4 linked regions of the Drosophila melanogaster genome follow. The protein of the gene in region 1 interacts with the protein of each later gene in a pairwise test. Each region holds a gene or a part of one and is shown in the gene's direction. Other genes may lie near its edges. The genes, in order: CG9083, Jon99Cii, Irp-1A and CG15198.

The links.
Region 2: the proteins of CG9083 (region 1) and Jon99Cii interact in a two-hybrid assay, tested with the Drosophila melanogaster proteins (one large-scale study listed by BioGRID).
Region 3: the proteins of CG9083 (region 1) and Irp-1A interact in a two-hybrid assay, tested with the Drosophila melanogaster proteins (one large-scale study listed by BioGRID).
Region 4: the proteins of CG9083 (region 1) and CG15198 interact in a two-hybrid assay, tested with the Drosophila melanogaster proteins (one large-scale study listed by BioGRID).

The regions. Positions count from the first base shown.
Region 1 is NT_033778.4:24,894,762-24,902,462, forward strand, and holds CG9083 (uncharacterized protein), read left to right. Parts: upstream 1-3,511; 5' UTR 3,512-3,580; coding exon 3,581-3,598; exon of another isoform or gene 3,599-3,666; coding exon 3,667-4,602; 3' UTR 4,603-4,744; downstream 4,745-7,701. Other genes in the region: NaCP60E (Na channel protein 60E), read left to right, coding at 6,083-6,294; Tpc2 (thiamine pyrophosphate carrier protein 2), read right to left, coding at 4,772-5,743.
Region 2 is NT_033777.3:29,921,729-29,929,103, reverse strand, and holds Jon99Cii (jonah 99Cii), read left to right. Parts: upstream 1-4,488; 5' UTR 4,489-4,516; coding exon 4,517-5,314; 3' UTR 5,315-5,350; downstream 5,351-7,375. Other genes in the region: alpha-Man-Ic (alpha-Mannosidase class I c), read left to right, coding at 1-301; CG15522 (uncharacterized protein), read right to left, coding at 529-923, 983-1,109; Jon99Ci (jonah 99Ci), read left to right, coding at 2,930-3,192, 3,250-3,805; Jon99Ciii (jonah 99Ciii), read right to left, coding at 6,065-6,862. UniProt on the Drosophila melanogaster protein: Major function may be to aid in digestion.
Region 3 is NT_033777.3:22,718,568-22,728,103, reverse strand, and holds Irp-1A (iron regulatory protein 1A), read left to right. Parts: upstream 1-3,516; 5' UTR 3,517-3,579; coding exon 3,580-3,592; exon of another isoform or gene 3,593-3,652; coding exon 3,653-3,745; exon of another isoform or gene 3,746-3,756; intron 3,757-3,816; coding exon 3,817-3,986; intron 3,987-4,052; coding exon 4,053-4,782; intron 4,783-4,844; coding exon 4,845-4,945; intron 4,946-5,008; coding exon 5,009-5,780; intron 5,781-5,844; coding exon 5,845-6,674; 3' UTR 6,675-6,784; downstream 6,785-9,536. Other genes in the region: CG45049 (uncharacterized protein), read right to left, coding at 613-797; RNF220 (ring finger protein 220), read left to right, coding at 1,835-3,031; wge (winged eye), read left to right, coding at 7,581-8,025, 8,087-8,233.
Region 4 is NC_004354.4:11,244,726-11,252,094, forward strand, and holds CG15198 (uncharacterized protein), read left to right. Parts: upstream 1-3,510; 5' UTR 3,511-3,683; coding exon 3,684-4,052; 3' UTR 4,053-4,160; downstream 4,161-7,369. Other genes in the region: CG44422 (uncharacterized protein), read right to left, coding at 2,022-2,742.

The DNA.
Region 1 (7,701 bases):
AGGTGTCACAGGGCAGGACTTCTGCTCCTTCTCCTTCCTCAATCAGGTCCTCCGACATCCTGACAGCGACACCTGCACGCCAACCAAAAGAAAGACGTGCACAGTGGTTCTGCACACACAGAAGTCTTTTGACTGGAGTTGCACGACTTCTTTCCATAGAGAGCAAGTTTGTTTTATTTTTTACAATTTTATTAATTTCTCGGCCTATTTAAGTTCACTTCTGCATATTTTTATCCCTGAAACCAACAATTGGCTTAAGAATAAACTAGCAGGTCAAGTTATGAGCTCAAAGATTGACATTCTTCAACAGCCACCCACAGTGCCATATAAAAGGCAGTTGGGGTGGGGGGACCAAAGGCATTTCCTTTTTGTGCGTGTTGAGCGTTTTCCTGCCACTTCCCGAACTCCTGTCCTGCTGTCCGGTCCTGCTCATCAACATAATTAAATAGCATTGCTCATTGTGTGCCGGTTGTGCCTTGGATACGGGGCATGTGCTTGGGTCTGGGGCACTTGGGTCCTGTGTCCTGGGTCTTGGCCAATAAAACGAAAATGGAATCGAACCAGCTTAATGGCGGGGCAGAGTGACCCTAAGGCCGTTTAAATAAATGATAAACAAATCGAAAATGGGAAGCGCTTTTGTCGGACCGAAAAGTTTCGGCTGATGACTGGCCATAAGTTACGCAATCGTTTTTGCAGGCGCCGATAGAGAGCGCCATTTGTCCTTACAGCAGGAGTGAGTGGGTGGGCCTTGGGTTGATAAGTGGGCGCAGGGCGCCATTGTCAGCGGAGTATATTCACTGGGGAGGTGAACAATGCACAAAGGCCAGCAGGCGCTGCCATCTGCGGATTACGAATATGAACGGAAACGGAAACTAATTAAATATGTAGAGCAATTGTTGCTGCATCTCGCTTTATCCTACCGATTCACTTTTTCACTTTTGTTTGTCCCGCATCACTGCAGCCAGTGTTTCGGTTTCTCCTTCGGCTCGGCTTGGGCTGGGGCTTGGACCGACCACCTTCCTTTCCGCCTTGCCAGTCTCGAATTGGATTTGGTTTTTGGCCAGGGCCAGGAAGCAGTCGAGAGCAAGCGCCCCAACTGCGAGGGGCGTAATTGCCCTACCCCCTAAGCCTCCGCTCCGAGTCCAAATCCCAATCCCATTTCAATTTCCATTCCCATTCCCGTCACCATTGAACTTGCTCAAAGGTCTGCGCAGCTGCAACTGCAACAGAGGCAGCAATGCCAGTTGCAACTGCAACAATGGCTGCACTTTAAACAACAAACTTTGAAAGTTAAACCAGGAAATCCGAAGCAAAGCATGCAGTACATAAGGAGTATCAAGAGAGCACCATAATATAGCAGAAAATCGAATTGACTTTTTCAAGACTTTCCCCACAATTCTAAAACTGTTGCCCACAATCTCGTGAATCACTTGTAGCACACCTTTTTCTCTCTGTGTGTGGATGCAACTGGTTTTTTGGGAAAACCACGACATTGCACGTCGCTAGTTGCTTTTAGTTTCTGTATCGGTGTGCAATTTCCTTTTTGTTTTTGGGCGCTTTGAGAATGACTTTGCTTCCGCGTGAAGATGCGACGGCAGGTCTGGAGTTTCGAGTCGCGAGCCCGGGTCGATTATGCAATATGGGGAAGATGTGCGTCTTCGTTGCATCTGATGTTAATGTGCGACCGCCAACCGGTTGCCCATCGTCATTGCCGTCATCGCCGGGGCAGCAGAAGCAGCTTCATCATCGTGAGCGTGGCCCTCTCTAGCTGAAGATGTAATCCCCATTGAAAGATGCTCTGATGGCACTGGAGTGCAGCCCATTTGCTCCAGCTCAGCGGCTTCCAGTTCGAACTTCATTCGGCACAGCATCGTGATTATGACCGGCGATGTGGCTTTATTGGCAACAGATTATTGCGTCGGTGTCCCGCTTGCTGCTCCCAGCTAGTTCCTTATGTAAGCCCGCTTTGTTTACAATCCGAAACAGTTTAAATGTATATTAATTATTCGGCAGTGATGGAATCTGCCGAGCGAGCAGTCAGCTGCCTAGCTCCGTAGCTGCCAGATGAGAAATGATAATCAGCGACGTAATCGAAATGGCCGGATGGCCCCGATTCGCTGGCTCGGCCCAAGTCACTCACTGCTAATGAAAACAGTGGCTAATCAACGGCGAAAGCATGGCGGCGGGGGTTGTTGGGGCGTCCAGATTGGTGGGTGGGTGAGTTGGAGGTGTTGGGTGGCCAGTGGCCATGACCTCTCTCCGCTGCCAGTCGGACATCTTGCTGATGTAAGCGCGAACAAAACCCACGGCGCGTTGCCTTTTGCCCATGTTGCAGCGCGGGGGCATGACAAGATATTTTTGATGTTGCTGCAGGCGAGGCTTAACCCAATAGCGCTCGAGAGCCTCTCGCCAAACGGCGACCTGACCTGGCCCAATCCAAAGAACAGTAACTGGCTCCTTCCCTGCCTCACAGCCGCGGCACCACTGCTTCGCGTTGGTAAACAAAATTATATTGATAATTTCCGGCACTGGTACGGCCATCAATGGGTTAATGACTAGCGACAGTGAGCAGCCAGCGGGCAGCAGCCAACCCGGCCAACCCTTGGCCAATCGTTATGCAAGTCTGGACCAACAATAAGGAATTGCCAATAGGAAGTTCGTCGTATCTACATAAAAATCCATAAACATGAACGTCAACAAAATACCTAACGGTTAACAACCAGCATCGGCGATGTGATAAAGTAGCAATAGCAACGAGCTCTGGGCCAAAACTGGAACTGGTCAAGTTGCATATTACCACAGTTTGAGTTTCGGTTTTAGCTATTTTCGGCCGCCAGCCCACGAAGCTTAGGGCCACTCAGATTTTCTCTCGAAAGAAAGTAGAGCACAGAAGCGAATGCTCCTCGAGAGAGTGTGTTAGTGCACTGGGAGAATCCGTGTATTACAATTACAAAATAAAAGTCTTAGATTTAGAAAAACATTTTTATGCAGTATCCAAGCTGCTTTCGTAAAATATGATTTTCTTACGTAAATATAGCAAAAGGAATTTAAGATATCTTTTAGCGATCTTAAATTGGTCTACGAAACCGGTTTTGTTTATCATGTAAAATATTGAAAATGGAAAACCAAAGATGATTGATACACTTAAGTTGGCATCACACCATGGGATTTAAAATAATTTTGAGTCACAGACCCTTTTTTACGTTATCCGTGTGGTATTGCAATTGGGCACATGCTGGGGATGATGATGTGAAAGGTCAACACTCTCGCGATCTTCAGAAAGGGAGAGTGAAGACTGGATGGCCGAGAAGAAGACGAAGACGAAGACGCGGCCAGTTGGCCTTCAATGGGTCGCGGTCGTGAAGTCTCCAGTGGTCTGGCTCCACTTCATTCAGCTCGTCGTCGGCGAAAGAGATTATCTCTGCACTTGCTCAGCGGCAAGCGATCGCTTATATAACCGCATGGCTCCCGAGTGGAGAAGAGGGCTATAAAACGGCGTGTGCCCATGTTTGCCGAATCATTTCCAGTCGGTCCAGAGGCGAGCAATCATTCGAGAGTCCTTCGTAACGAATCCAGAGAAATGGCAGCCCGTTTCATAGTGAGTTTGGCACGACACCACGTCAGTTCAGGTGGATCCTAACACAGATTCCCTCCTCCCACTCCCAGATCAGTGCGCTTCTGCTGGCTAGCCCAGCGGTATGGGGAAAGCCCACCTTCGGACGAGAGCATGTCCACATCCGTATTCACCTGCCAGAGAGCGGTGGGGATCACGGCGGCCACGGAGGCGGTGATTTTGGCGGCCACGGAGGCGGTGATTTTGGCGGCCATGGAGGTGGAGGCTATGAGATTCACTCCCACGATGGCGGATACAGCGGCGGTGGAGGAGGCGGTGGTCATGTGAACACCTATGCTGTTATCACCGAGAACCACGGATACAGTTCCGGGGGTGGCGGAGGCGGTGGAGGTGGCCACGGATACAGCTCCGGCGGATATAGTTCCGGTCATGATGATGCCAAGATTGCTGCCATCGCTGCTGCTGCTGGCTCGTCCTCCGATCACGGACATGGCGGACATGGAGGCAGCGGCGGACACGGCGGAGGTTATGGTGGCCATGCCATCGCCAACATTGCAGCCATCGCCGCCAGCTCAGACTCCTCTGATCATGGTGGCAGCGGAGGATACGGCGGCTACAGCGGTGGCGGTCACAGCGGAGGAGGTCATGACACCCAGGTGATTGTGGCTGCTGCTGCGGCTGGAGATTCACATGGCTCTTCCGGCGGATACGGCGGCGGATCCTCCGGTGGATACAGTGGTGGCTCCTCCGGGGGCTACGATGGTGGATATTCTGGTGGATCCTCTTACAGCGGAGCCTCCTCCTACAGCAGCGGCTCGTCCTACAGCTCTGGAGGATACAGCAGTGGACATGGCGGTGGCTATAGCAGTGGCGGCGGATCCAGCTATGATACACAAGTGGTGGCTGCAGCCGCTGCTTCAGGCAGCGGTGGCTCCTACGGCGGGTCTTCCGGCGGCGGTGGCGACGGATACAGCTACTCAGCGCCGGCCTCAGGCGGCTGGGCAGGATCCAGTTCAAACTGGAAGTAGACGGCAATGTCCGTCGTTGGCCATCTGGTCGTCTAGTCTACTGTTCACGTTTAACTTATATTTGACATGTTCGCTCATCCATATTCCACACATTCTCCCAAGATACTGGTGTACAAAATAAACCATGTTAGTGTAATAATTTAAGCCAGCCGCCCAGTATGTGATTTACCTAATGCTTGCCCAGTTTTTGCCGATTTTTCTCCGCCTCTTTCATCGGAGCTATATAGTGGCGCTTAAACATGTCATAGATGGAGAAGTACACGGCACTCATCAGTCCTGCCTTGAGTAGAGTAGGCAACATTCCCTTATAGAAGCCTCCGATTCCTTCCTCCCGAAACGTGGTGGTGATGCAGCCCAGGATCGTAGGGCACTCGGGGTTGCGACCAAAGGTCTTACGTTCCTGTTTGAAGGCCATCAGCTGGATGCGCTTTTTAAGCAGGTCCGCCGGGTACACGATCATCTTGGCCAACACCCCTGACAGCGCCCCATTGAGAAACAGAAATGCGCCGTGGATTTCCTGGCGCTGGTCGGGAGGCTTGGCCATCAAGACAGCCGCGTTGAGGTACTTGTAGAAGAGAAAGTTTGCCCCTACCAGCGGAAACACCTGCACAAGCGTGAAGGGTAGTCCTCGGGAAAGTCCCATCCACCCCTCCATCTTATAGACCTTTCGAAGTCCGGTAAAAGTGTTCATCTGACTGCGGCGCGAGGAGGGGTCTGCGGCCACCATCTGTGTTCTTACCACGTCGAACGGCTGGGCGGCCACGGCTCCCAGACATCCGGCTATGCCGCCGCAGATGAAAAACATGAGAAAGGGTCGCTCCCTCCAGTAGTCAAACTGGTGGGCCATGGAGCGAAGCTGTTCGTAGGACCAGAACTGTACCAGAGCGTACGAAATGCTCAGAACCTGGCCGGAGTTGTGACCACGGAACATACCGCGCATTCCCTCCTCGGCGTACACCGACTTGAAAGCGTGGATGACTCCACGGTATTTGGACCCCTTATGGTTTGTCACCGGCTCCACTTGCATCTGGAATCGGATCTTCAGAACGTCCAGCGGCTGGGTTATGGTCCGCGTCGCAGCTCCGGCGATTCCGCCGCCGACGGCCTGCATTAACTGGACTACCACCGAGTTTTCGGGCATCGGATGTGGCGACGAGCAGTGGACGGATTCACTCACGGCAGGAGTTATTCACTGTACAGATGAGGACGAAGTGGTGTGTTGTCATTCCGCAAGCTAAATTTCCTGCTACTGTATAAGAAAGTGGCTAGGCTTTTATTAAGCTCTGGCCAATTACACAGTATTTTCCAATTTAATATTTAGTCGAAATTTTAAAATACACAATAATTTCTCTGACAAGAATGTAAAAGCTTAAAATTTTTAAGGTGTCTACGTACTTTAGTTGGGGTCTGCATGTGAATGTACATACATTTCTATGCTTGTGTTGGTTGTCGCATTATTAATCCCTTCGATCTCTTTCAGCTGTCGCCAAGCACCAGGTTGTCGCGTACACGCAGAGGTCGCAGGTTAAGCACGAGAACCGGCACATCCAGCTGGTGCGGGAGTACGGCTTCCACCCGCGCACTAAGGCCTCCGTGGAGGACGGCGACGTGCTGCCCCGCAAATTCGAGCCCTTTCCGGAGCACATGTACGGAAAGCCGCTGGAGGAGATTGACACCTTCATTTACGAGGAGGTGAGTACTGCCGCGTTCAACATTCCCTCATTATCCGCGGCCTCGCCTCACTTGGCCGCCCATTGGCTCTAATTAAAAAGTCACAGGCAGGCGACCAGACCCCAGATCCGTGTTCTCATGGTAGGGCAATCCTCGTGGTGGCAGGTGCAGGCGGCGGAAATGGAACGCGGCGCGCGGCTGTTGTTGCTTTTGTTTTCATACCGCCGTCTCGCTGCACTTGCCCCATTGTAGGCACAAGTGGAAGTGCACTTTGGCTCAGGGAAACTGGGGTTAATGGAAACGCCTAGAACGGCCCTCGAAAACCGAAAAGGAAATCAGGGTAAATGCCGTTCGTTCGTTAAATTTCAAAGCCGGGAATAAATTTTGGAACTGTGTACATCAAACAAAGGACACACAGTTGCAAACACGTCTGCCCAAGTGTTAGTGCAGGCATGAACTCGGTGCTGGAAATATGGGTCATGTCATGCACAGGGCTCCGGGCAGCAAAGTTGACAGCCGTATTTACGTGACTCAAACAAACTGGCCGGAGCCGCTGCCGCAGCAGCCGCAGAGGACAAATTATAGGCGAACATGCAAGTGTACTCAAGACTTGGCGGCTTTCGCGCCACGTGTCGTGGCGAAATAATTCCGAAAAGCGGCCTAGCCGGACGAACTGGACTGGGACTGGGCTGAATAAACATGCAAGTGGCCAGCCCACGGGGCTGCACTATAATGGGAGTTACGGTGAGCGATAAGATGAGCGTACCTGTGACGCCGAGTGATGTGTTTTATCGATCTACCTGACATCCCACTAAGTCCAAGACAAACAAAGTCCGGCAATCTATAATTAAATCTTATTGGCGACACGCTTGCAGTCCGGGAACATCCCCTTGCGAATCTCGACGCTCTTTCTGGGTCACTCCTGCGATGGGTGCTGCAATGTTGTCCCACATTCTATAATTAATTCCTGATTGGTTAGAACAGAATATCTCCGGTTGCCCAATCTGTTGACCGCAGGGCTTTGTTTAATCCATTTCACAGAATCAGCCAACTCGCACAGCACCTACATTGCAGGGTACCTCCGAGTAATTCTGGCGTCATCGAAACTTAGTATTGTGACCAGTGATTGTTTAGAAACAATACAGTTGGTCTCATAAGCTTTTTGATTTTCAATTCAATATGCTCTGAAAATAATGCAGGGTATTAAATAATTAAAACTTTCGACTATTTCATTTTAATAATAGCCAAGGCAGTGCTACTAGGCGCGCTCAGTGACTATTGTTCATCTCTGATAGTGTCCTGGGAACTAGGCAAACCAAACATTCTTAGACCATTGCTTTGAGTAACTAACCCAGTGGCTCCCATCCGAAGCCCTTACTGCTAGTCTCCGATGAAAATGGGTTGCATGGCTTTTAAACAGCCACTGCA
Region 2 (7,375 bases), on another chromosome or scaffold:
GTGGCGCATAACCCATCATCCACAGTACCGCTTGTGGGGATTGGAGATGGTGCAGGCGATAGAGAAGTACTGCCGAATGCCCTACGGATATACTGGAGTGATGGACGTTAACAACGTTACTTCGGAACCGGATGACGTGCAGGGGTCCTTCTTCTTGGGCTCCACTCTGAAGTATTTGTATCTGCTCTTCTCCGACGACGACGTGGTTTCGCTGGAGCAGTGGGTCTTCAACAGTGCAGGCCATTTCCTGCCCATTAAGGGCGTGAACCCAATGTATCGTCAGCATAACTCATCGAACTAAACATTAGCCAATTACCAAAATAGTTAGCATCTATTTAAAGTTTAACTTTTAATGCAGACATGTATAAAAAACTTGTGTGATCTAATACTTTCACAATGAATTACAAAACCTAATTTCTAATTAGCTGGGAGCACACACATTGAGCACACCTAAAAGCACATACACACATAAATGTCAAATGTCGAACATTGGCCCGCTAAACCATCGCTGGCATCCGCCCTAGAGCTCTAGAGCTGGCTGTTGGCCAGGTGGTTGTCGATGACCCGCTGGATGATCATCAAGCAGTGGCGCTGCCTGGCCACCGTGTTGTCGATCAGCTGTTCCGTGAACTGACTGGCCGCAATGTTCGTGTTGGGCGGTATATCCTGCGTGCAGGATATGTACCTGTTGAAGATCTCCGTGTTCAGCGACGTGGCCAGATACCGCTCGCTCTCGTCCTGCTGCTGCAGCTTGTCCAGCTCCTGGGCGGCCAGCAACAGCTGATCCTTGGCCTTCTGATATGATTGCAGCTCCTGCAGGCTGGCATACTCGGCGCTGCTCAGTTTCACGGACCTGCCGCCGTCTTTCGTCATCTGGCGAATGTGGTACTTGCGCTCGGCCACAAAATTACCGAGCAAGTATCCTGCGAAACCACGACACACAAGAGTGACTCATTAGGCGCTGTCCTGTGAATGCACTCACCTGTTATCAGCATGAAGAAGCCAATCGTTAGCACCAGGGAGGCACAGGTGCGCTTGGAAACGTACTCGCGGAACTCCCGAGAGCTGTTGGCCCGCACCGCCGTCTCGTAGCTGAGTACCTGGTGCATCCTGATGACCTGGTCCCCTTGGGGATTATAATCTGTGGGGCCTGCTTGGCCTAGTCACGTCGAGACACTCGGATGTGTCCTTCAGAACTGGGTGGGAACATGGTGCTATCGGTGGTATCTAGTGCCTAAAGCATGGAATTTGTAATTAAACATTAGAAACTGTATCTGTGAGTTACAGCTGTAAGTTTCTTAATTACTTCGATATGTTCAAGGATTTAAGAGCGCGGAACTTGGAATGATATAACACCTCTTGGTATGTCATGTCAGGATTTAATGTTCTCCTTTCACATTTTTAGTTTGAGCACTAAAACCGCAGTGTCAATGCCCCGAGTTCCTGTTCTGGCGATGCCGCTGATACGGAGGAGCGTGACTTAATCGCCCCACCTTAAAAGGCAATCGCGAAGCCCGTTGTTATGGGCATCGCACACGGCAAACAGCGCGGTCCTTTAAACGCTTCGTCGAACACTTTTCACTCACTCGCTTTATAGGATATCGTCGGCTTGGCTCGACTCTTGTGCTGCCAGGATGGGGTACATATGCATTAAATTAATTAATGACTGCACTTTTGTGTTGCACTGCCCGAAGGAAGTGGGCTACAAGTGTGGGAATGTCCTTTGCGAAGGGAGCGCGCTCAACTTTTAATTGTATTATTTATGCTTTATTTACTCGTCGCGTTCGCTCGGATCCTTGCGCGTTATCCTTGCGAGCGGTCTGAATGCCCGGACGCCCAGTCGGGAACTGACTCACGCTTCGTTGGGGGTCGGCTTTAATAGCTCTCCGTTCTCCGTTTTCCGTTCCGTGTGGTGAGTTTCCTGCCCCGATATGTTGCACATTTCAGCGTGGCACTACGTCGGCGGAAGGACGGTCAAGGGGAAGCTCGGAGAATGCAAACAAAGGCATTCCCAGTAGCTTCCTAATGAGGAATGGGTCCGCCATTTCGCCCACTCCGCCCGAGGCGTTCCTCAGAAACTATATCGGATTTCAAGCCATCGCCTCACTTTGAGTGATACTGCTGCTCCGTAGTTCCGAAAGTGGACCTCCCTTTTGATTGCCATAATCGTATTTTCTTTTCTGCTTCACTATTCCCTGCAATACTTCAAGGATATCACATGACCCTCGATTGCCATTTCTGTTCCTTGGGGTTCTTTGAAGTCCCCCCCATGACACCTTGCTTGCACATTTTCACTTGTTGTGCTGTGACATATATTACTGGGAATTTATGCATAAACTCAACCATTGCATACAATTTGAATATATATTTTGAGGTACGATTATAAACTTTTGCTTTTCTGAACTTGAAGTACATAATCCCATAACGCACTCTATTACTAAGTTAATCCATTGGGTGGCATAAATTAAAATAATTTATTGCACGATAAGCTTGTACACTTCTATATGTGCATCGATAGTGACTTCATTGGTCTATATAAAAGTGTGAGACCAACAGGAGATTTTAGTATACAAAATGAAGGCTTGCGTACCCATATTGGCAGCCCTTTTTGGATCAGGGAGCAGACTGGCATTTACTATTAACCATGGTTAATAATTCTTTATGATTTAATAAAATTAAATGAATTAAATTGCTTGAACTTGTATCCACTCAGAATTGATTGAAGCACTCAAAACACTCTTATTCCCTTTGCTAACACTTCATTCATACTGCCAAACACTCGTCTTGAGTATCTGCTAGTATAAATCAAACTTTTTCGTTGATAAAAGTGCTGCGAGATAAGATTTCGCACTTTGAATTAGCATCGATAGTGATTATGGCTAAGCTATATAGTATTGGGACCACCATGGGAGCCTTTTAGTCTTTCAATATGAGGGGTCTTACACTCTTGTCGCTCGCCTTCCTTGGGGTCTGTAGTGCCCTAACTGTGCCCCATTCGCTGGTCCATCCACGCGATCTGGAGATTCGTCATGGAGGGATTGAGGGTCGTATTACCAACGGAAACCTGGCGTCCGAGGGTCAGGTTCCCTACATCGTGGGTGTGAGCTTGAACAGCAACGGAAACTGGTGGTGGTGCGGCGGATCCATAATCGGACACACTTGGGTGCTCACTGCTGCCCACTGTACCGCTGGGTGAGTTATTTGATTTCACAAATAATTAACGCTCTTTGATAAATCATCGTATTGCAGTGCTGATGAGGCTTCACTGTACTATGGTGCCGTCAACTACAACGAACCTGCCTTCCGCCACACAGTGAGCAGCGAGAACTTCATCAGATATCCCCACTACGTTGGACTCGATCATGATTTGGCCCTGATCAAGACTCCCCATGTGGACTTCTACAGCCTGGTCAACAAAATAGAGCTTCCCAGCCTGGATGACCGATACAACTCTTACGAAAACAATTGGGTTCAGGCCGCCGGATGGGGTGCCATTTACGATGGCAGCAATGTGGTGGAGGATCTGCGAGTGGTGGATCTGAAAGTGATCTCCGTGGCGGAGTGCCAGGCTTACTACGGAACTGATACCGCCTCCGAGAACACCATCTGTGTGGAAACTCCGGACGGAAAGGCCACCTGCCAGGGTGATTCTGGTGGTCCTCTGGTCACAAAGGAGGGTGATAAGCTTATCGGAATCACTTCCTTCGTCTCCGCTTACGGATGCCAGGTTGGAGGACCGGCTGGCTTCACTAGGGTCACCAAGTACCTGGAATGGATAAAGGAGGAGACTGGAATCTATTATTAAAAAAAAACTTTACTAATTTCAAAGCAAAAAGGTGCTTAAACAAGTTTTAAATAAATGAAGAACATATGCTGTTATATTTTGTGTATTATTAATTTCTTGGAAGATAGTGGCATATTCATGTTTAGAGATAAAATTACCAATAATACATAATCAATACATTACATATTACATAATACATACCATTTAATACATTACCTATGTAATATTAACCTATTAGTGTTTTATTTTTTGATAATCTAAAAATCAACTTGTTGAGAACAAAAACTGTACAATGTGCCGTATGAGTAATATTTTATCACACTTTTTTTTGAAATTGGTAGTAAATACTTTCAATAAACATTATTCAGAATTTAAATTTCTTAAAGATCATAAAATACTTTACTCCTCATTTGGGTAATCTGAGTATATAATATATTTTAGGTGAAGTGAATGTCCTTACATGATACTATCATACTGAAGAGTAAGTTGCAAATAAGGCACATGTCATTCCACTTCAAATTTAGGCCATAATTTACAAAAAAAAAAAATCACCTGTAGTGGACTTATCAGTCGACGATGGCTCGCGATGATAACTTGATTAAAATTTACTGCCCTCCCATTTTACATACGTGTGGAAGGAAGGGCTCTTGGTCGAGATAAGACTACGGACCACTTCTGTATATAAAGGCGCTTCGACATCGGAACACCATTGAGTTGCAAGACTTGACCAAGATGAAACTGTTCGTATTCCTGGCCTTGGCCGTGGCCGCAGCTACTGCTGTGCCCGCTCCCGCCCAGAAGCTGACCCCGACGCCCATCAAGGACATTCAGGGTCGCATCACCAACGGCTACCCAGCCTACGAGGGCAAGGTGCCCTACATCGTGGGTCTGCTCTTCAGCGGCAACGGAAACTGGTGGTGCGGTGGCTCGATCATCGGCAACACCTGGGTCCTGACCGCCGCCCACTGCACCAACGGAGCCAGTGGAGTGACCATCAACTACGGAGCCAGCATCCGCACCCAGCCCCAGTACACCCACTGGGTGGGCAGTGGCGACATCATCCAGCACCACCACTACAACAGCGGCAACCTGCACAACGACATCTCCCTGATCCGTACCCCGCACGTCGACTTCTGGAGCCTGGTCAACAAGGTTGAGCTGCCCAGCTACAACGACCGCTACCAGGACTACGCCGGATGGTGGGCCGTGGCCTCCGGATGGGGCGGCACCTACGATGGCAGCCCACTGCCCGACTGGCTCCAGTCCGTCGATGTCCAGATCATTTCCCAAAGTGATTGCAGCCGCACCTGGTCTCTCCACGACAACATGATCTGCATCAACACTGACGGAGGCAAGTCCACCTGCGGAGGCGACTCTGGTGGCCCCCTGGTTACACACGACGGCAACCGCCTGGTCGGAGTGACCTCCTTCGGATCCGCCGCTGGCTGCCAGTCTGGTGCTCCCGCCGTCTTCAGCCGCGTCACCGGATACCTGGACTGGATCCGCGACAACACCGGCATCTCCTACTAAGCAGTTGATGTTCAATAAACGATTATAGCAAAAATGAAAAATTCGACCAAACTATTTATTCAGTTGTAGATTGAGGGGCACATTATTGAGAGCTAAATATTTATATATTCTATTATGTACATTAAATGTACATATATTATAAAACTAAAAGTAATCTCATATTTTCCTTAAATGTTTTTAAAACGAGATTGTTTAACTTATTTTTATATCCTATTTTTATATTCTATCCATATGATAGCTGTTGAACGCTAGTAGCGACTATAGGGTATTCCTATATTTAAAACTGTTTAAGCTAGGAAAGTCCACTTGCAGCTATTTATAATAACATAAATTTATATTATGTTTATGCACTTTAATTATGTTGCAAATATAACAAGTCCAATATTCTACATACACCATTTTCAATCCAGTTTGCTTTTTATATACATAATATACATAATAATTATAAACAATACATAATAATAATACATAATAATAAGACGTATGATCCATATATATATATTTGCATATAGTCCGATGGTTCGTCATTATGTGTTCCTAAAGCTTGATTTTTTCCGATACATAAATCGGAAATCGGAATAAGTTTATTTCCGTTTGCAGTTTAATATATTTCCCTTCACTTGGAAATATTTTATTGATTTCATTACTTAAGCAAGAAGACATCTGAATCCCATCCCAAAAACAGAACTTGAGTTGCTTGCTATAATCGTTTATTGAAGAAACCCCTCAGAATTAAGGAACATCAACTGCTTAGTAGGAGATGCCGGTGTTGTCGCGGATCCAGTCCAGGTATCCGGTGACGCGGCTGAAGACGGCGGGAGCACCAGACTGGCAGCCAGCGGCGGATCCGAAGGAAGTCACTCCGACCAGGCGGTTGCCGTCGTGTGTAACCAGGGGGCCACCAGAGTCGCCTCCGCAGGTGGACTTGCCTCCGTCAGTGTTGATGCAGATCATGTTGTCGTGGAGAGACCAGGTGCGGCTGCAATCACTTTGGGAAATGATCTGGACATCGACGGACTGGAGCCAGTCGGGCAGTGGGCTGCCATCGTAGGTGCCGCCCCATCCGGAGGCCACGGCCCACCATCCGGCGTAGTCCTGGTAGCGGTCGTTGTAGCTGGGCAGCTCAACCTTGTTGACCAGGCTCCAGAAGTCGACGTGCGGGGTACGGATCAGGGAGATGTCGTTGTGCAGGTTGCCGCTGTTGTAGTGGTGGTGCTGGATGATGTCGCCACTGCCCACCCAGTGGGTGTACTGGGGCTGGGTGCGGATGCTGGCTCCGTAGTTGATGGTCACTCCACTGGCTCCGTTGGTGCAGTGAGCGGCGGTCAGGACCCAGGTGTTGCCGATGATCGAGCCACCGCACCACCAGTTTCCGTTGCCGCTGAAGAGCAGACCCACGATGTAAGGCACCTTGCCCTCGTAGGCTGGGTAGCCGTTGGTGATGCGACCCTGAATGTCCTTGATGGGCGTCGGGGTCAGCTTCTGGGCGGGAGCGGGCACAGCAGTAGCTGCGGCCACGGCCAAGGCCAGGAATACGAACAGTTTCATCTTGGTCAAGTCTTGCAACTCAATGGTGTTCCGATGTCGAAGCGCCTTTATATACAGAAGAAGTCCCTTGTCTTATCTTGACCAAGTGTCAAACTACCCATATGTTGAGCTGGAGGGCAGTAAATTAATGTCATCCAGATTACATAGGAGCAAAAAGACAAAAAATAAACAACGCAGAGGCTTGTACAGCAATATAAAAAACGTAAACTTATCAGTGTTCAATGATTTGCGAATCAGTTAAAAATACAATAAATTTAATGTTAAATACTACTCATCGGATGCAATTCATAAAATCATTTTCTACGTGGGTACATTCAATTTGTTTAAACACATAAGTATCTTATCGGTGCCATAAAGCAAATCAGCATTGATACTATAGATTTTTACGATCATGTTGAGGGCTTAGAGATATAATTTTAATACAGATGGCCATAAAATGAATTTTATCCCGCAATCTTGACGGTTTCCGGTGGGGAGACAGTGAAAGTGCAACCTGCTACGCAAACCCAGGGA
Region 3 (9,536 bases), on another chromosome or scaffold:
ACTTGTGACAATTTATGTACGTTTGTAAAAAAAATATCAGCATCTTGAAATGAAATTTTGAACAAATATTATAAAACAGAGTCTTCTTATTATCGATCTTGCTCAATAGTTGCTAACAAATAGGAAGTGTATCAAAATTTCGTTAAAACTGCATATTATGCCTAATTCGCACGATTCCCTGCCAATTTTAATATCTTCAGATACGCAAACAAAGATGCATATGTTTGTGTAAGTAGATGTTGCGTCTAATGTATCTCAAGATATTTCGACGGGCTAGACGGAGATAAATATAGTTTTACATATAGCGGCTAGAAATGTGGAATAAAAACAAAAACACATTTCGCAGATGAGCGAGTACCGACTTTGTGTGTGTGAGTGTGTGTGTGTGAATGAGTGGCATGGCAACAGGATCATAACGGTTAATTGCTATATAGAACGTAACGGTAACGGCAGGCAAAATTGGGGCAAACGGCCAAATGCAAAACAACAACAATGGCAAGGGCGAGGGAATTCGTATACACGTATGTTTATATATGTGTGTGTGTGTGTTGTGTGCTATGCGGAAGAACGGAAGCAAAACAAAATGCGATCTGTTTGAGTTCAGGAATATACCTTTCCTTGTAATAGTCCAGGGTTACCGATTCGGAATCAAATTCTGAATAATCTGGCAGCGATTCGGCATCAAAGGAGCTCATTCCGCTGAGCGTGTAATTGGGCAAGACGTTCATTTTGTTGTTGTAGCCAACAAGGTTACCCTGCTGCTGTTGTTGTTGCTGCTGCTGGTACTGCTGATGCATAGTTGTTGCTGTTTTTTCTACGTTTATTTTACTATATTTGCCTTATTTAACAATATGGCACACGCACACACACTCACGCCCAGGAGAAACTGGCTGCTATATTTTTTCTCTATTCTCTTTTCGCTGCCTTTTCACACTCTCGCCGTCTGCTTTGCACTTTCGCAAAAATATGCGTCGGTTTTGGGTTCAACCTGTATGCACTTACACTCTGCTTGAAAAGCTCTGTCGCTTTTCCACTTTCACATGTTCCTCGACCACTGACTTTTCTATATAATCAAAAAATAAAAACGACGAAAATAATAATGTTTTGCTTCCCTCATAGAGCTGGAACTTAAATCGATGTTGTCTCGATACTATCGTTTTGGCTGGGCATTTCTCGATAGCGATAAAGTGCCATGGAACTATCAGTTAATTTACATTTACCGTCAAATTATTTAATTTAACGAAGAAAGGAAATTAAAATAGCTTACATTTCGGATGTTTAAACTTTTATCAAAGCGGGGGCTGTGCTTTATAAAAATTTCCTAACAGTGAGGGAGAGACACTATCTGTCACATGTTATATCGGGCATGTAAACAACGCAATCTGATAATATATATATATTGCTGTATTAAGACCAACCAGAGTAGAGTAAAAATTAAGAAATCAGTACGTTTAATTATTTTATTGTAAGACTTAAGGTCAAAAGAGTTGTTGGAATGCAAAATGCAAACTTTGAAGTTTTAATTAACACGGAATTCAAACAAATAATCAATTATTATAAAGATATTTTTAAGTGAATAAAATTTTAATTATTGCTTAAGCATATTAATCACTGTGCTTGGCGCTTTTGTAACGGTTTTACGATGTATATCGCAATGACCACTTCCACTGACACGAAAAATAACGAAATCAGTGTGACCGTTTTCCACCGTACGAGAACGTAAGAAATCGGCGTCGCGTGGCTTGGACAGAGATTATCGAACAAAACAAAATCCGACTACAGAATCTTTTAACTTCGTTTACCCTTAAGAGTCCGCGGTGGATCCGAGGAATCGATGGCTACGGACACGGTGTCCAACGGCGAGAACTTCGCCCAGCACTTGAGCAGAAACAGCGACGACGACGTGATCTGTCCCACATGCGACGTGAAGATCAAGCGCAGTCAGGTGGCCGATCACTGCCAAGTGGAGATGGAGCGATTGCACAATCCCATTAGCGCTGTCACTCCACCGACCCCAACTAGCGGAGCAACCGCGTCCGAGGAATCCGGTTCGGTATCGGGGGGCAGACAACCGTGGAGCGTGTTCCAGCGGGTGCAGCGCAATCGGCAGGCCCGTCAGCGCCAGCGCACCAGGAAGCGTCCGGCTTCTCCTGCCCCACCAGCAACTGTAAATCCTACGGTAGCAGCTGCTCCTCCTCCAGCTGCAGCAACTCCGTCCGTAGCTGCTGCCGAATCGAGCCAACCCACCTGTCCCGTGTGCAACCACAACTTTCCGCAGTCCAACATCCAAGAGCATGTTAATCATTGCCTGCGCCAGAGCCGCCGCAATGGTCAGGCCAATGGTGAGCGGCATTCGAGTGAGGACTCGGAGGACAGCGAGGAATATGAAGAGTACGAGTGGGCGGGACAGAAGCGCATTCGCGTCTCCACTCTCGTGCAAGGAGGCTATTCCGCCCTGGGCCTGGGCCAGAGAATCAAATACAATGGCAGTCAGCAGGCGCAGGACGACGAGGACGAAGATCTCAACGTGGACGAGGATGACACTCACATCTATGGTCCTACGCAGTATGGCGAGGGCGATGTGATCCCACTGGTCAACGAGGACACAGAGGGAAATGTTTCCGAGGCGGATGTTACCAGCTACGTGCGCCGACTTATCTCCTCCAGCGATGGGCCCAAGCCAAACCATTCCAGCGAAGCCACCGAGCAAGAGCCTGCCAGCACAAGCAACGTGGAGGCTCCACCAGCCAGCGAGGAGCCGTCTACGTCGCGGTCCACGCGATCCACCTCCCAAAACCAGCAGCAGATCATCGAATCGCTGAAGGCCAAGCTGCGGCTCTACGAAAAGCAGGCGCAGGGCAAGTACAAGTGCCTGATCTGCATCGACGACTACAAGAATCCCGCCATCTCCGTGTCCTGCTGGCACGTCCACTGCGAGCAGTGTTGGTTGCAGACGCTCGGCGCGCGAAAGCTGTGCCCGCAGTGCAACTCGATTACCACGCCGAAGGACCTGCGACGAATCTACCTGTAGACGTCCATCACAGACTTGTTATCCCCGCTGCCAAATTGCTTGCGCCATAAAACAGGCTTTGCATCCCGACGCAGCTTTAGATGATAATCCCCTATACATATTATTTATATAGATTACAAATACCAATTATACTACGTGACATTACAATAAGCCTACCATGTAACTATTGCAATAAACCGCAGAAAACATAATTAATATTTAAGTTTATTTAACGAAATTAGCATGTAGGAAGGGAAAAGCGTTTAAAGACATGCAAACAAGTTATTTTAAATACCTTATTTTGAACTAAAATAAAAAAGCAATCAATCCAATATTATATCCAATATTATTTTCGAATCACAAAAATGATAAATTATTCCACTATAATTTACAAATGTTTCATTTTAAGTAATAAATAAATATTTTTTACTGTGTACCGGTTTGTTTTCATGTTCAGTTATCGATAATATAATGTTTGCGTTAGTGATGAGCAAGTTTTGCCTGGTAGCGGTTCCTCACGCGCTCATCTCTATATCACATTGCTTGGTTTTCTGTTTAATTTTTCCACAATGTCCGGCTCCGGTGGGATTTAATTGGAAAAAGGAGTATTTGATCTGTACGCTAATCCTGTCTTCCTTGCAGGCGCCAATCCCTTTGCCCAGTTCCAGGAGTCATTCACCCAGGACGGCAACGTCTACAAGTATTTTGATCTGCCCTCCATCGACAGCAAATATGGTTGGTAATCGTTATTGTTGTTCGTTATCATTATTGTTGTTATCTTTATGAATATTATTAACCCCCCACAGAGTCACTGCCCTTTTCCATTCGCGTTCTGCTGGAATCAGCGGTGCGCAACTGTGACAACTTTCATGTGCTGGAGAAGGATGTGCAGAGCATCCTGGGATGGACTCCATCGCTGAAGCAGGAAACCAGCGATGTGGAAGTCTCCTTCAAGCCAGCTCGTGTTATATTGCAGGTGTGGATTATTGCATCACATAGATTATGTTTGTATGTGACTTCTTAAGATATTCCCTGCTTTCAGGACTTTACTGGCGTTCCCGCCGTCGTGGATTTTGCTGCCATGCGGGATGCTGTCCGCGAGCTGGGCGGCAATCCTGAGAAAATCAATCCCATCTGCCCTGCCGACCTGGTCATCGACCATTCCGTTCAGGTGGATTTCGTTCGCTCCTCGGACGCATTGACCAAGAACGAGTCACTAGAGTTCCAGCGCAACAAGGAACGATTCACCTTCCTCAAATGGGGAGCTCGCGCTTTTGACAATATGCTAATTGTGCCACCCGGCTCTGGCATTGTGCACCAGGTTAACCTGGAGTATCTGGCCCGAGTGGTTTTCGAAAGCGACAGTTCAGCGGACGGATCTAAGATCCTTTATCCGGATAGCGTTGTGGGCACTGACTCCCACACTACAATGATCAATGGATTAGGTGTTCTCGGCTGGGGTGTTGGCGGTATCGAGGCGGAGGCCGTAATGTTGGGCCAGTCCATTTCCATGCTGTTGCCAGAGGTGATTGGCTACAGGCTGGAGGGCAAACTGGGCCCTCTGGCCACATCCACCGATCTGGTGCTGACCATTACCAAGCATTTGCGTCAGCTTGGTGTCGTCGGCAAGTTCGTGGAGTTTTACGGCCCCGGAGTGGCAGAGCTCAGCATCGCGGATCGCGCCACCATCAGCAACATGTGTCCGGAATATGGAGCCACTGTGGGTTACTTCCCAATCGATGAAAACACGCTGAGTTACATGCGCCAAACCAGTGAGTCAATCTTAAAAATTATCTAAATTTATTACTTGATATCCATGGATGTGGATCATTAGATCGCTCCGAGAAGAAAATCGATATTATCCGGAAGTATTTGAAGGCCACTCGACAACTTCGTGACTATTCCCTTGTGGATCAGGATCCCCAATACACGGAGGTAAGTGAGATTCTGTTTTTCCAATGCAAAGACATACTAACGAATCACTTTTTTACCCTGCAGTCTGTAACTTTGGACTTATCCACCGTGGTGACCTCGGTTTCGGGGCCCAAGCGACCGCACGATCGCGTTTCAGTTTCCAGCATGTGCGAAGACTTCAAGTCGTGCCTCATAAGTCCTGTCGGCTTCAAGGGATTCGCCATACCACCGAGTGCATTGGCTGCAAGTGGTGAATTCCAATGGGACGATGGGAAGAGCTATAAGATAGGTCATGGATCTGTTGTGATTGCCGCCATCACCTCGTGCACGAACACTTCGAATCCCTCGGTGATGTTGGGCGCTGGTCTGCTGGCCAAGAATGCCGTGCAGAAGGGCTTGAGTATTTTGCCGTATATCAAGACCTCATTGTCACCAGGATCTGGCGTGGTTACCTACTATCTGAGGGAATCCGGTGTGATTCCCTATCTGGAGCAGCTGGGCTTCGACATTGTGGGCTATGGCTGTATGACCTGCATTGGCAACTCGGGCCCGCTCGATGAGAACGTAGTGAACACCATCGAGAAGAACGGACTGGTTTGCTGTGGCGTCCTGTCGGGCAATCGCAATTTCGAGGGTCGCATCCATCCCAATACTAGGGCCAATTATCTGGCCAGTCCGCTGCTGGTGATTGCCTACGCGATTGCCGGCCGTGTGGATATTGATTTCGAGATCGAACCGCTGGGCGTGGATTCCAACGGCAAGGAGGTGTTCCTGCGCGATATCTGGCCAACGCGCAGTGAGATTCAGGAGGTAGAGCATAAGCACGTCATTCCCGCCATGTTCCAGGAGGTGTACAGTGAGTATAGCTAGCTGACTAAGATTTTTCCGCAGCTCTAGGCTAACTGTGTCCGCTATCACAGGCAAAATTCAACTGGGATCCAGGGACTGGCAAACGTTGGAGGTGTCGGATAGCAAGTTGTATCCATGGAGTGAAATATCAACATACATCAAACTACCACCGTTCTTCGAGGGTATGACTCGTGCGCTGCCCAAACTTAAAGGTATCGAGAAGGCTCGCTGTCTGCTGCTTCTCGGTGATTCAGTGACCACCGATCATATCTCGCCAGCCGGATCCATTGCACGAAAGTCACCGGCAGCGCGCTATTTGTCGGAAAGGGGTCTAACGCCGCGCGACTTTAATTCGTATGGATCCAGACGTGGCAATGATGCGGTGATGGCACGCGGAACCTTTGCCAACATCCGTCTGGTCAATAAACTGGCATCCAAGACGGGACCCAGCACACTGCACGTGCCCAGTGGCGAGGAGATGGACATCTTCGATGCGGCGGAACGGTATGCGAGCGAAGGAACACCTTTGGTTCTGGTCGTAGGCAAGGACTACGGCAGTGGCAGCTCACGTGATTGGGCCGCCAAGGGGCCATTTCTGCTGGGCATCAAGGCGGTGATTGCTGAATCGTACGAGCGCATTCACCGCTCAAATCTGGTGGGCATGGGCATCATTCCGCTGCAGTTCTTGCCTGGCCAGAGCGCCGATACCCTGAAACTGAGTGGCAGGGAGGTGTACAACATTGTCCTGCCCGAGGGCGAACTGAAGCCGGGCCAGAGGATTCAGGTCGATGCTGATGGCAATGTCTTTGAGACCACGTTGCGTTTCGACACCGAGGTGGACATAACGTACTACAAGAATGGCGGCATTTTGAACTATATGATACGCAAAATGCTGGATTAGTTAGTGCGTTCGTTGACTTTTATATTCCATATGCATTTCTAGGCGACTTTTAATTGTTATTATGTGCTGGGAAATAAAATTTGACATTCATCTGTGAGATGATAATTATTAAAAAAAAAATATTTCAAATATTTTATAATATTTTAAATTGCGCGCTCTGGATGTTATCGATAGCAGAAATGCCGATGGCCAAACCAGTCCTGCTAAAAATGCCTAACGCCTGCTGGTGAATCATCGACAAGGCAGCAATAAAATCGAATAGTCCCTGTTATATCGCTGTTAACTTAACATAGTTCGCTGCTTCTTTTTTTGTCCGTCCCGTGGACTTTTCTCCAGAGGATTTTGATTCCAATTCGCAAAAGAAAAACATAAATAAGCAACAGATCGTGTGTTGGCCAATAGCTCTGCAGCCAGTGCTCGATATTCACTTGGAAGAACCGCGCAAAAACGCAACAACGCAGCAGGAAAGTCGCGCCTCCGCCTCCCCACCAAAAAAAAAAAACACAAAAAAAAAGAAAAGATCTCGGATCGCACAGGGTTTTATTTTGGGCAACCGCACTTGGACTGGTGGGTGCTTCGGTTCCCTCGACCTGTGGATAGTGCCCAGTGGCGTCGCGTCGCTTTGGATTATGTCATTTGTTTATGGGGAATTGCCGCAGGCCCAGTAGCCAATGTTGCATCCGAAAGAGGCAGCGAAAACCTGTAAAAATGTAGACTGTGTGCGTGTGTGTGTGGGCCAGTGCTAGTGTGTGTCCGTGTGCCGTGTGTGTCCACGTGTGTTTGTGTGTGCGGATAATGGACGTTTAGTTTTTGGTCGAATCCGCAAGATATATAGTGAAATAGGTATAGGCTAGAGATCCCAGGGAGCGGTAGCCATACATATATGTGCACAGCCACCGCTACCCGATGGCCACGTTTAATCCTGGCGCCAGCAGCAGTGCCGCCGACGTTCTGAGCGCCACCACAGCAACGGCTACTTTTCTGGTGCCCACCACTGCGGCAGTATCGCATCCTGGTGCCCATACCGCCCATCTGCAGCTGGATCAATTCGGAGGCTTCTCCGCGGCGACGGCCACTCCCCTGCAGCACCATCACCATCAGCAGACCAACTCGTCGTACACTTTTGTGCAGATCAAGAGGGAACCCTGCCAGGTGTCCGAAATAAGCTCGAACAATTGCCACCAGCAACAGCAGCAACATCACCAACACCACCAGCACCAGGTGCAGCATCAGGGCCTGTCTTCCGCCTCGATGACCGCCTCCTCCAAGACCATGTCCTCCTCCACACTGACCACTCTCGTCAAAATAGAGGCTCCCTCGCCAAAGGTATCGGAATTGGAAAAGTCCACAGGTAGGTGACACCCAGCCACTGGTCAAGAGCACTCCTCATCGGTTAATTACGATTCTATCAGGCAACTCCGTTCCCATTGGCATCGCCGTGGCCAGGAAACGCCCGCAAGAAGCTCTGGTGCCGGCTATCAACACCCCCGCTACGCTGCCGCTGCAGCCACCACTCAACAAGGACTTGAACTGCTTCGGCATACGCGTCGCTGACCTCGGTGAGTGCCAAGCTACACAGAGAGAAATGCAGCTTCATCTCATGGAAATAATAAGTTCTTAGTGATATTCAAGGGGATGTAAACTGTTTTAAGGTATCTGCTATCTTTGAGATACCAAATGATTTACTTAAAGAATCATTAGATATTTCTAGATGCTGTTTTCCATTTGTGTTAAATGATATGTAAATTTAAGACAATCACTGTCTTGTGCCATACATTTTTTCCATCCGTGTAACTTCTGGGCATCTAATTCAATTGAGTCACCAGATTTGAGCGCCCCTAATGAACGGCGCTTCCCAAGGGACAACGTTATATGATGCTTATGATGCCAGGACGTGGACGTCGTTCAATTATGCCACTAATAAGATTGCCAACAAACGTTCAGCGCTGTGCGGAATTCCATCAGTGAGCAATGGCCGAGGGTGTCGTCTCCGCCTTAAACAACCCGCTGGAGTTTAGAGGGCAGGAATCATATGATGGCCGCCTGTTGTGCGGCTGTCGTTGTTGTGACAGCCACCGAATCGACTGGATTCGACTCAAAACGGCTCATCCCCATATCCATCCTCCCTTGCGGGCAGAAGGAAACCCGGTGGTAAATCATACGAACTTCTAAAGCGGAAGTGAAACGAAAGTGAAACACATTGCGATTTGAGAAGGGAGGCTTTGCGTCGCCTTGGCTCTGGTCGACTTGAAATTGCTCTTTAGATGGGCACATAAATATGTTTATATTTTTTTGGGGGTGTGTTTTGTCGCCGTAGCCAGTCGAATTACATTTTCCGGATTATTTTTAAAGTCTGCTAATGGTGAAATAATCAACCATGCCCATGACACGAACATGAACTTTATGATCTTGGATGGGTTACTTTTTCATATCAATCTATTTACAAAATAGTACCAGATGTGCCATAGCCTTAATCAAAGAGCAAGAGTACAGGAAACTGTGTACTTTGTTTTAATCACTACATGGAATTTCATGTTATTCTTTAAATGATAACGTCTATAAATGGTTAGAGCAATATGATGGCAGGGAAATGAATCATTACACTTAACTAAATGAATATATAATTTGTATTGCTTTGACTTTACAAAGTTGCACTTATTTTTTGTTATTTTTACCTGGAATCTCCATTTACTCATTTATTATTATCAACTCTGATAAAATTGAAGTCACAAGCTACTTTTTGCGGGGGTTTTTATTTTTATATATCTATTAAACTAGAAGTTCAACGCTGCTATAAAAATCCAATGCAAAAACAGATTGAAATTTTGTTTTTATATCTATTCTGGGTATTTCCCAGAAGTT
Region 4 (7,369 bases), on another chromosome or scaffold:
AGCTACGCTAATCCACTGCCACAATTTCCATCGGCATCAACTCAATATACAATTTAATAGAAAATAGATATATTTAGATATTTATATTTATATTCCCTTGTAAATGCAAACAAGACTTACTCATTATTTTGTTTACCTTTGACGACGTATTTGATACTCTGGCATCAAATGAACCCCATATTTATCTCAGTGTAAAACATTCGAATCCAAAGCTCTGACAAACAAATATTATATTGTTTTCCATATCGATTTCCTCTCCAACCGTTCCTGCATTCAATTTTCAGGATGAGCCATGCAACTTTTATGTTGAGCTCATCATTTTGCCAACTGCTCTTGTACGATGGCAAAAAAAGGGGTGGGGGTGTGGGTGATGGAAATTGGGCGGGAAAATCGAATAGGGAAAATACTGAATGGCAGGGAACTAAGCGGAACAGACAAAAAACAAGGATGAACAACGATGAAGACGGAGAGCTCTGGGCGGGCAAATTGACAAAAGAAGCTGCTCGAAGGACTCGATGGCTGAGTGAACTTCCAAGGAGCCAAAGGAGCCAAAGGGGATCCGCTCTCATAGTTGAGCCGTAAACAATCAATGCAATCTCAACTTGGGGAGCACGAGCACCCGGAGCTCCATCAATTTCCATAATTAATCATGCAAGACACAGCAGACACAAAAGGGTTAAGCGAAGGATTTCGTTGCTCTTCAGATTAAATCAAATCAAATCGAATCGAATTGGAAAGTAACAATGTAAAAGTTTTGCTCGACAATCCGTTGAGGGTTCCCAAAAAAATAAAAGAACTTATACAAATTTGATTGATTGTGCCTTCGCCACAGGCAAACAGATTTGGGCTTCAAATTCGTGAATCTACTTAACAATATTTAGGAAATTTAATATGTTATGCTGATGGCAACACGGCGCATGAGTAATATGTTATAAATCATACGCCGCGTTGGCAGAGCACATTTTTTGCGAGGAAACAAAATTATAACAATAAAAGAATTTCAAAATGAAATTCAATTTAATCTTTAACAATTATTTTTGGCCTACGGCAATCACCTTAAATCTAAAATTACTTTTTCACAGGTCCTGAAATACTCGTAAATAAAATTTCAAACACAATAGAGAGAGGCCAAGCAATTTCCAGCTTCAGGCGTCGCCCACAACAACAAAAAATACATACACCGCAAACGCCTAATAGATTTTCAATAGAAAATCCATTCAAGGACGCTCTGATGATTTTTCGTTCGCAAAAAAAAAAAAAGTTCGCCATGCATAAATTTCGGCCAGGCGACAAAAACAGCCGCGGAACCGCAGGCGCGTTTTACGAGCGTTTTTTCCCGCCTGCCAACCTCAAGATGCGCACAAAAACAAAAAAAAATATGTATATCTGCAACGCGGCCAGGCCAACGGCTGTGGATTCATGGCCATGAATTGACCCAAACTGAAAATGGTTAGCACGTTTTTTGGCAGGGGTTAGTCATGGCCAACAATCGGGTTAAAGGCGGCGCGGTTAGGGTAAGGGTTAAGGGGTTCTACGGGTGAAGAACAGACATTGCCGCTTACGCTTTGCGATGCAGCCCCAGGCAACCAGCAGAGTTTTCACAGCTACACAGAAAGAAAAAAAACAGAAATCAAAAAGAAAAAATCAAATATGTAAAGTACACTCTGAAAAGAATATAAAACAGAGGGTGACAAGTGAAAGTGGAAGAGTGCTTTTGAAAAACTAAAACTTTACAGTGAAAAAAAAAACGCTCTTTAGAAACAGAAATCATTAATGATAATATTTAAATTTTCATTTGTTAAAAAGGTTAAATTTAACTACTTTTTTTAACCAATTGAAATAATATAATTCAAAACAACTTCTTAAGAAACTGACAAATGTACTTTAATCATATCACATATCTAAGTTTCGGGTTTCCCTCTTTCCTTACAAGAAATTATCTAGCTCAAAACTAGAAGCTTAGGAAAATGCATGAAATGCCCAAGTGGATGCAGTTGCTCCTCTTACAAAAGCTGCCTTACCATTCTGTGTGGTGCTGCCTTGGAAGAGGTTCCGCAGATACGTGATCAGCCGCCGGTGGAGCGGTCGATGCCGATGGCGCGATGATTTCCTATGCGAGGAGGAGGACTCCTGACCGCCACCGCCCTGCTCCACATCTTCCACGTCCAGGGTGGAGACAATCGCTGCCCCCGAGCCCGCTGCACCCGAACCCGGACCACTGGCCACCAGCTCCTTGCCGCACTGACTGGCGTCCACAATAATCTCGATGCTGCGTTGCGTGCTGGACTTTTTAATGCCCAATGCCGCCGTGGAGCAACTGCTGCCGGAGGGACCACCACCGCCACCGCCGGAGTTAATGGTGCTGATGAGGGCATCTGTGACACTGGATCCGGTGCCAGCGATGCTGCTCACCGTCTGGTGATGCATCTGCTGCTGCTGCTGGTGCTGCTGGACCGCTCGACCTGTGAGCAGGTGATGCTGGGCGCTCGAGGGCAGCTCGTTGACGGTGCCATTGCTGTGGCTTCCACGATAGATGAGCTCCGTTTCGTTGCTCACCTGGCGCAGGGCATGCAGTCCGGTGTGCGATGCACTGCTTGACATTCCGGCGGAGGATCCACCACCTGCGCCGCCGCCTCCAGCTCCTCCTCCTCCTCCGCCGCCGCCGCTGCCGGAACCACCATTTAGACCCGTGTAGTAGGCGCTATTCGGTCGCTGGCTGTGCTGCACCTGTGGCCCGGCCATAATGTTTCTCTCAGTGTATGTTATGTACTGCTGGAGCGGCTAGAGTTCCACCTCCTTCTGCTGCTCCTGTTCCTGCTCCCGATCCTCTCTAGCGGCTGGCTTTAATTGTCGCTGGCTGGTTTTAGTGGTTTTAGTAGCATATTGGACAGTTACATGGTTACGGCGGTCACTTTGTTAGGCAGATTGGGGTTAAGCGGTGCCGCATCTGCGAGAAGCGAGTAAAATCGAGCAGAATATATATGTTAGTTCCGATACTAAGGCATTTAGGTCTCTAAACCGATCAATTTCTTTAATTTAATTTCATTTGGGAATTAATTAGTTTCCCAAAAACAGTACAAACAAACTGTACCAAATGCTTTCGAAGCTGGGTACTTTATCGTGTTCCCATATTATTTTCTAATTATCTTAATTTGATCGGAATAGAGTAAATAACAAAGAAAACTATTTCCAGGAATTTCCATTTATTCCATTTGCCAGCAGCGTTGCATTGTTAGTATGCGTGCATGCGTATGTGTGTGCGTGTGTGTGCGTATGTGAATTATAAAGCTGTTGTAAGCGCACTTGTTAGCCCATTTTAATCCTATTTACTAAATGATACACTAAACTAGACAATTGCCTTCTCAGTAAATTGCGGCTAACTAAGTTGCCAATGCACATCGATTGAGATGCTAACGCACATTGTAACCTATTAAATTTATGCAAAATATTACAACTAAATTAAACATTTGTTATCCCAAGTAAGTAGGCCTCGCAATGAAACTCGCATAGATAAAACCATCCGTGTGGTTGACTTTTGTTCAGTATTGGGGCAAACCTTACACCGAACAGTTCGGAAAACTAGCCAAAAAAAAAAAAATTCAAAATTTTTCCGTGTGAATAACTCCGTGTTTTTCCACATTTTCTACCTTTGCCGTTTAAACGTTGCTGCGCTCACCATCACCATGAAAACCCTCGAGTCCGACGACAAACCCTTCAATCCCTTCTACATTGGCCCACATCCCAGCAAGGCGTGTGCCATTCCCGAGATTCCCGGCCAGCAATGCTCACCCAACTGTCAGCCAACTACTACGACCACCAATGGTTCTCCAACGGATGCAACGGATCCCAACAGTTTGCCCAGCGGAGCTGCGGGCGGCATGGTAATCGTGGCCAACATATATAGCACCGTCGAGGTCCTGGCCGCCGCCGCTCGTATGGGCGGAGCAGCGGGCACTGGAGGGGATCAGGGTGCGTCGTCTTCCAACAACACCACATGCAAGCCGTATCCCTGCATGGAGGGCGCTCGCATCGATGGTCCTGGCTGTGGTTAGAACCAGAGGAAGTTCACATTGGATCAGAAAGCTTTATCTACCAACTGGCTATTTGAATAGGCTAACTCGCAACACCAAGCTAGCCCCAAATACAAAAATAAAAGGCCCAGAAAAATAATCCATTCGTATTTTTTCTATAGTCTGTCGAAAAATGATCAGTCTTTTTCCTACAGCAATGTAAATAGTTGTCCAAATATGGAATGCCATACCTCGTTGAACTCGTCATAAAATTGTCTTTCGAATGGCATTCACAGTTAAAAATGTAATTTTTTTTCAATTTTTCGCAAAAAATGATGATGTTACCCCTTATAAAAAATCTGAAAATTTGAAAAAAATCAATTTTTTCAAATTAACAAAACGGTTACAGAAATCGTTTATTTGGATCATTAGCTGTATAAAACAGTAATTTTTTTGAATAAGTGACCATTTTTGGCCAAGTTATAGCAAACTGAATTCTTCGAAAAAATCATCATTTTGCCAAAATGAAACACCAATTTTTCAACAAAATATAATCATTATTTTGTTCATAGCAATAAAGTTATTTATCCAAACATGGAATGCCATACCTCGTTGAACTCGTCATAAAATTGTCTTTCGAATGGCATTCACAGTTAAAAATGTAATTTTTTTTCAATTTTTCGCAAAAAATGATGATGTTACCCCTTATAAAAAATCTGAAAATTTGAAAAAAATCAATTTTTTCAAATTAACAAAACGGTTACAGAAATCGTTTATTTGGATCATTAGCTGTATAAAACAGTAATTTTTTTGAATAAGTGACCATTTTTGGCCAAGTTATAGCAAACTGAATTCTTCGAAAAAATCATCATTTTGCCAAAATGAAACACCAATTTTTCAACAAAATATAATCATTATTTTGTTCATAGCAATAAAGTTATTTATCCAAACATGGAATGCCATACCTCGTTGAACTCGTCATAAAATTGCCTTTCGAATGGCATTCACAGTTAAAAATGTAATTTTTTGTCAATTTTTCGCAAAAAATGATGATGTTACCCCTTATAAAAAATCTGAAAATTTGAAAAAAATCAATTTTTTCAAATTAACAAAACGGTTACAGAAATCGTTTATTTGGATCATTAGCTGTATAAAACAGTAATTTTTTTGAATAAGTGACCATTTTTGGCCAAGTTATAGCAAACTGAATTCTTCGAAAAAATCATCATTTTGCCAAAATGAAACACCAATTTTTCAACAAAATATAATCATTATTTTGTTCATAGCAATAAAGTTATTTATCCAAACATGGAATGCCATACCTCGTTGAACTCGTCATAAAATTGCCTTTCGAATGGCATTCACAGTTAAAAATGTAATTTTTTGTCAATTTTTCGCAAAAAATGATGATGTTACCCCTTATAAAAAATCTGAAAATTTGAAAAAAATTTATTTTATCAAATTAACAAAATGGTCATAGAAATCGTTTCTTTGATTTATTAGCTGTATAAAAAAGTACTTTTTTTTTTGAATGGGTGACCTTTTTTGGCCAAGTTATAGCAAATTGAATTAGTTGAAAGTATGAATTTTTTGCAAAATGTGGTGTTTCAGAAATCCTTTGGTTAGTTATATCATAGCAATGGATCATTGGCTGAATGCCAATTATTTAAGAAAGCCAGTTGGTTACTTAAATTTTCGGCGGCTAAAGAGTTTTCCCGTTAACTGTTCAACAATAAACGATTCGAGTGGAATCCCATTCGGGGAGCATTATTTTTGGAAAGAAATTCGTTCGTACATTTGCAAGCCGTTGCGATGGATTTCATCTGAAGCTGCAGCTGCATCATTTATGGTTCGCTGGCAACTGGCAAATGGATCAGGAGCAGGAGCAGCAGCATCCACATTCACATGCACATCATCCTTTGGCCCAATCGTTTGGGGCGCTGCAGGAGTGCGGTGCGTTCGGCCTGGAGTCTATCGAACGTATTGCTTTTGCAAATTCAATGAAGTAAAAATTTATTATTTATTGATAGACTTATGCAACTGCACAACAGCAGCACCATCAGCAGCAGCAGCAGCAGGAACAGCAACAAGGAGCTGAACACTTTATGCCGCCAACCTTGCAACCTTTATGCTGCAACCGAACAGTGTTGCAAAGTTGGTCATACTCGAAGCAGTTAACCATTTACTTTTAGCCCAACATTTCAACATTTTTAAAAAGTAGATTCTATAATTTATATAGGAGCAAAAAAAAAACTTATGTAAACGTATCTTTGCGTAAGAATACTTGGAATTTAATTTACTTGAATTAACATTTGCAATACCCATTGAATGATTATATATTTTTATTTATTTATAATTAACCTTAGAGTGCACAAGTAAAAAGTAACGCCTTTCGGTATTGAACTTAATCTTAGTTGAATTGTGTGAAAGCATTCATCAGCTCTGCTCTGATTTGTTTTTTTTTTTTTTTTTGGGTTTTATTTTGGCATCCCTGTCGAGGACACCATGTATGTACATATGTATGTGTGTTCGCCTTTCTGTGTGGGTGCGTGTGTGCATGTGTGTGTGTGTGTGCACTCGTCCTGGTACTTGGCAAAATTGCAGTCGATGCTGCTGCCAGTGCTTTTGCTTTTGCTTTCTTTGCCAGCACCTGTTTGCCAAATGATTTATGCATTTCACCCATTTTGCCGTCGACGATGCCACGTGCAACAAAACTAGCAAACAACGGCAAAAAACTGCAACAAATGCAAGTGCAACCCGCCGGCAATAACAACAACATTTAATGTGATTTTCTTGTTAAATGCGAGTTGAGTCGAGTCGAGTTGAGTCGCGTGGAGTCGCTCTGTTCGCGAAGAAAAATGAAGCACTTTGCTGCCAGTTTTTTATATTCGTCGTTGTCGAACCCCTTAATAGTCGTTAGTTTGTTAAGCTTTTAAGCTACCTCTTTTATTTTTTGTGTGCTAAATCGTTAACGGCAAGTCGTTGAACCATTTTACAATTGCCGCTCTAAAATGAAAAATGAAAATGTGGCGACTTGTTTAGATTATTTTAAGAGATAGCGAGGGAAATTCGTACAAAGGAAAAATCGTAAACCGTTTATCGGAATCAGCTGAAAATAACTTGAAGTTAGCCCAAATATCGAGCATACGCACCGTGTGCCTGCAAAGAGACAGCCCGAAGACAAGCTGAAATCTATGATGCCCATTTCAGCAATTCCATTTCCAACTGTCAACAAATCGAGTGCAGAAAAGAAGCAACAACAGCTGCGTAAAGAAGAGGAGGCAACTTAATTTATTGAAATGTCCGGAAATGTACGCATTAAATGCGCCGCACGACGACGAATGGAAAACAAAGCATAA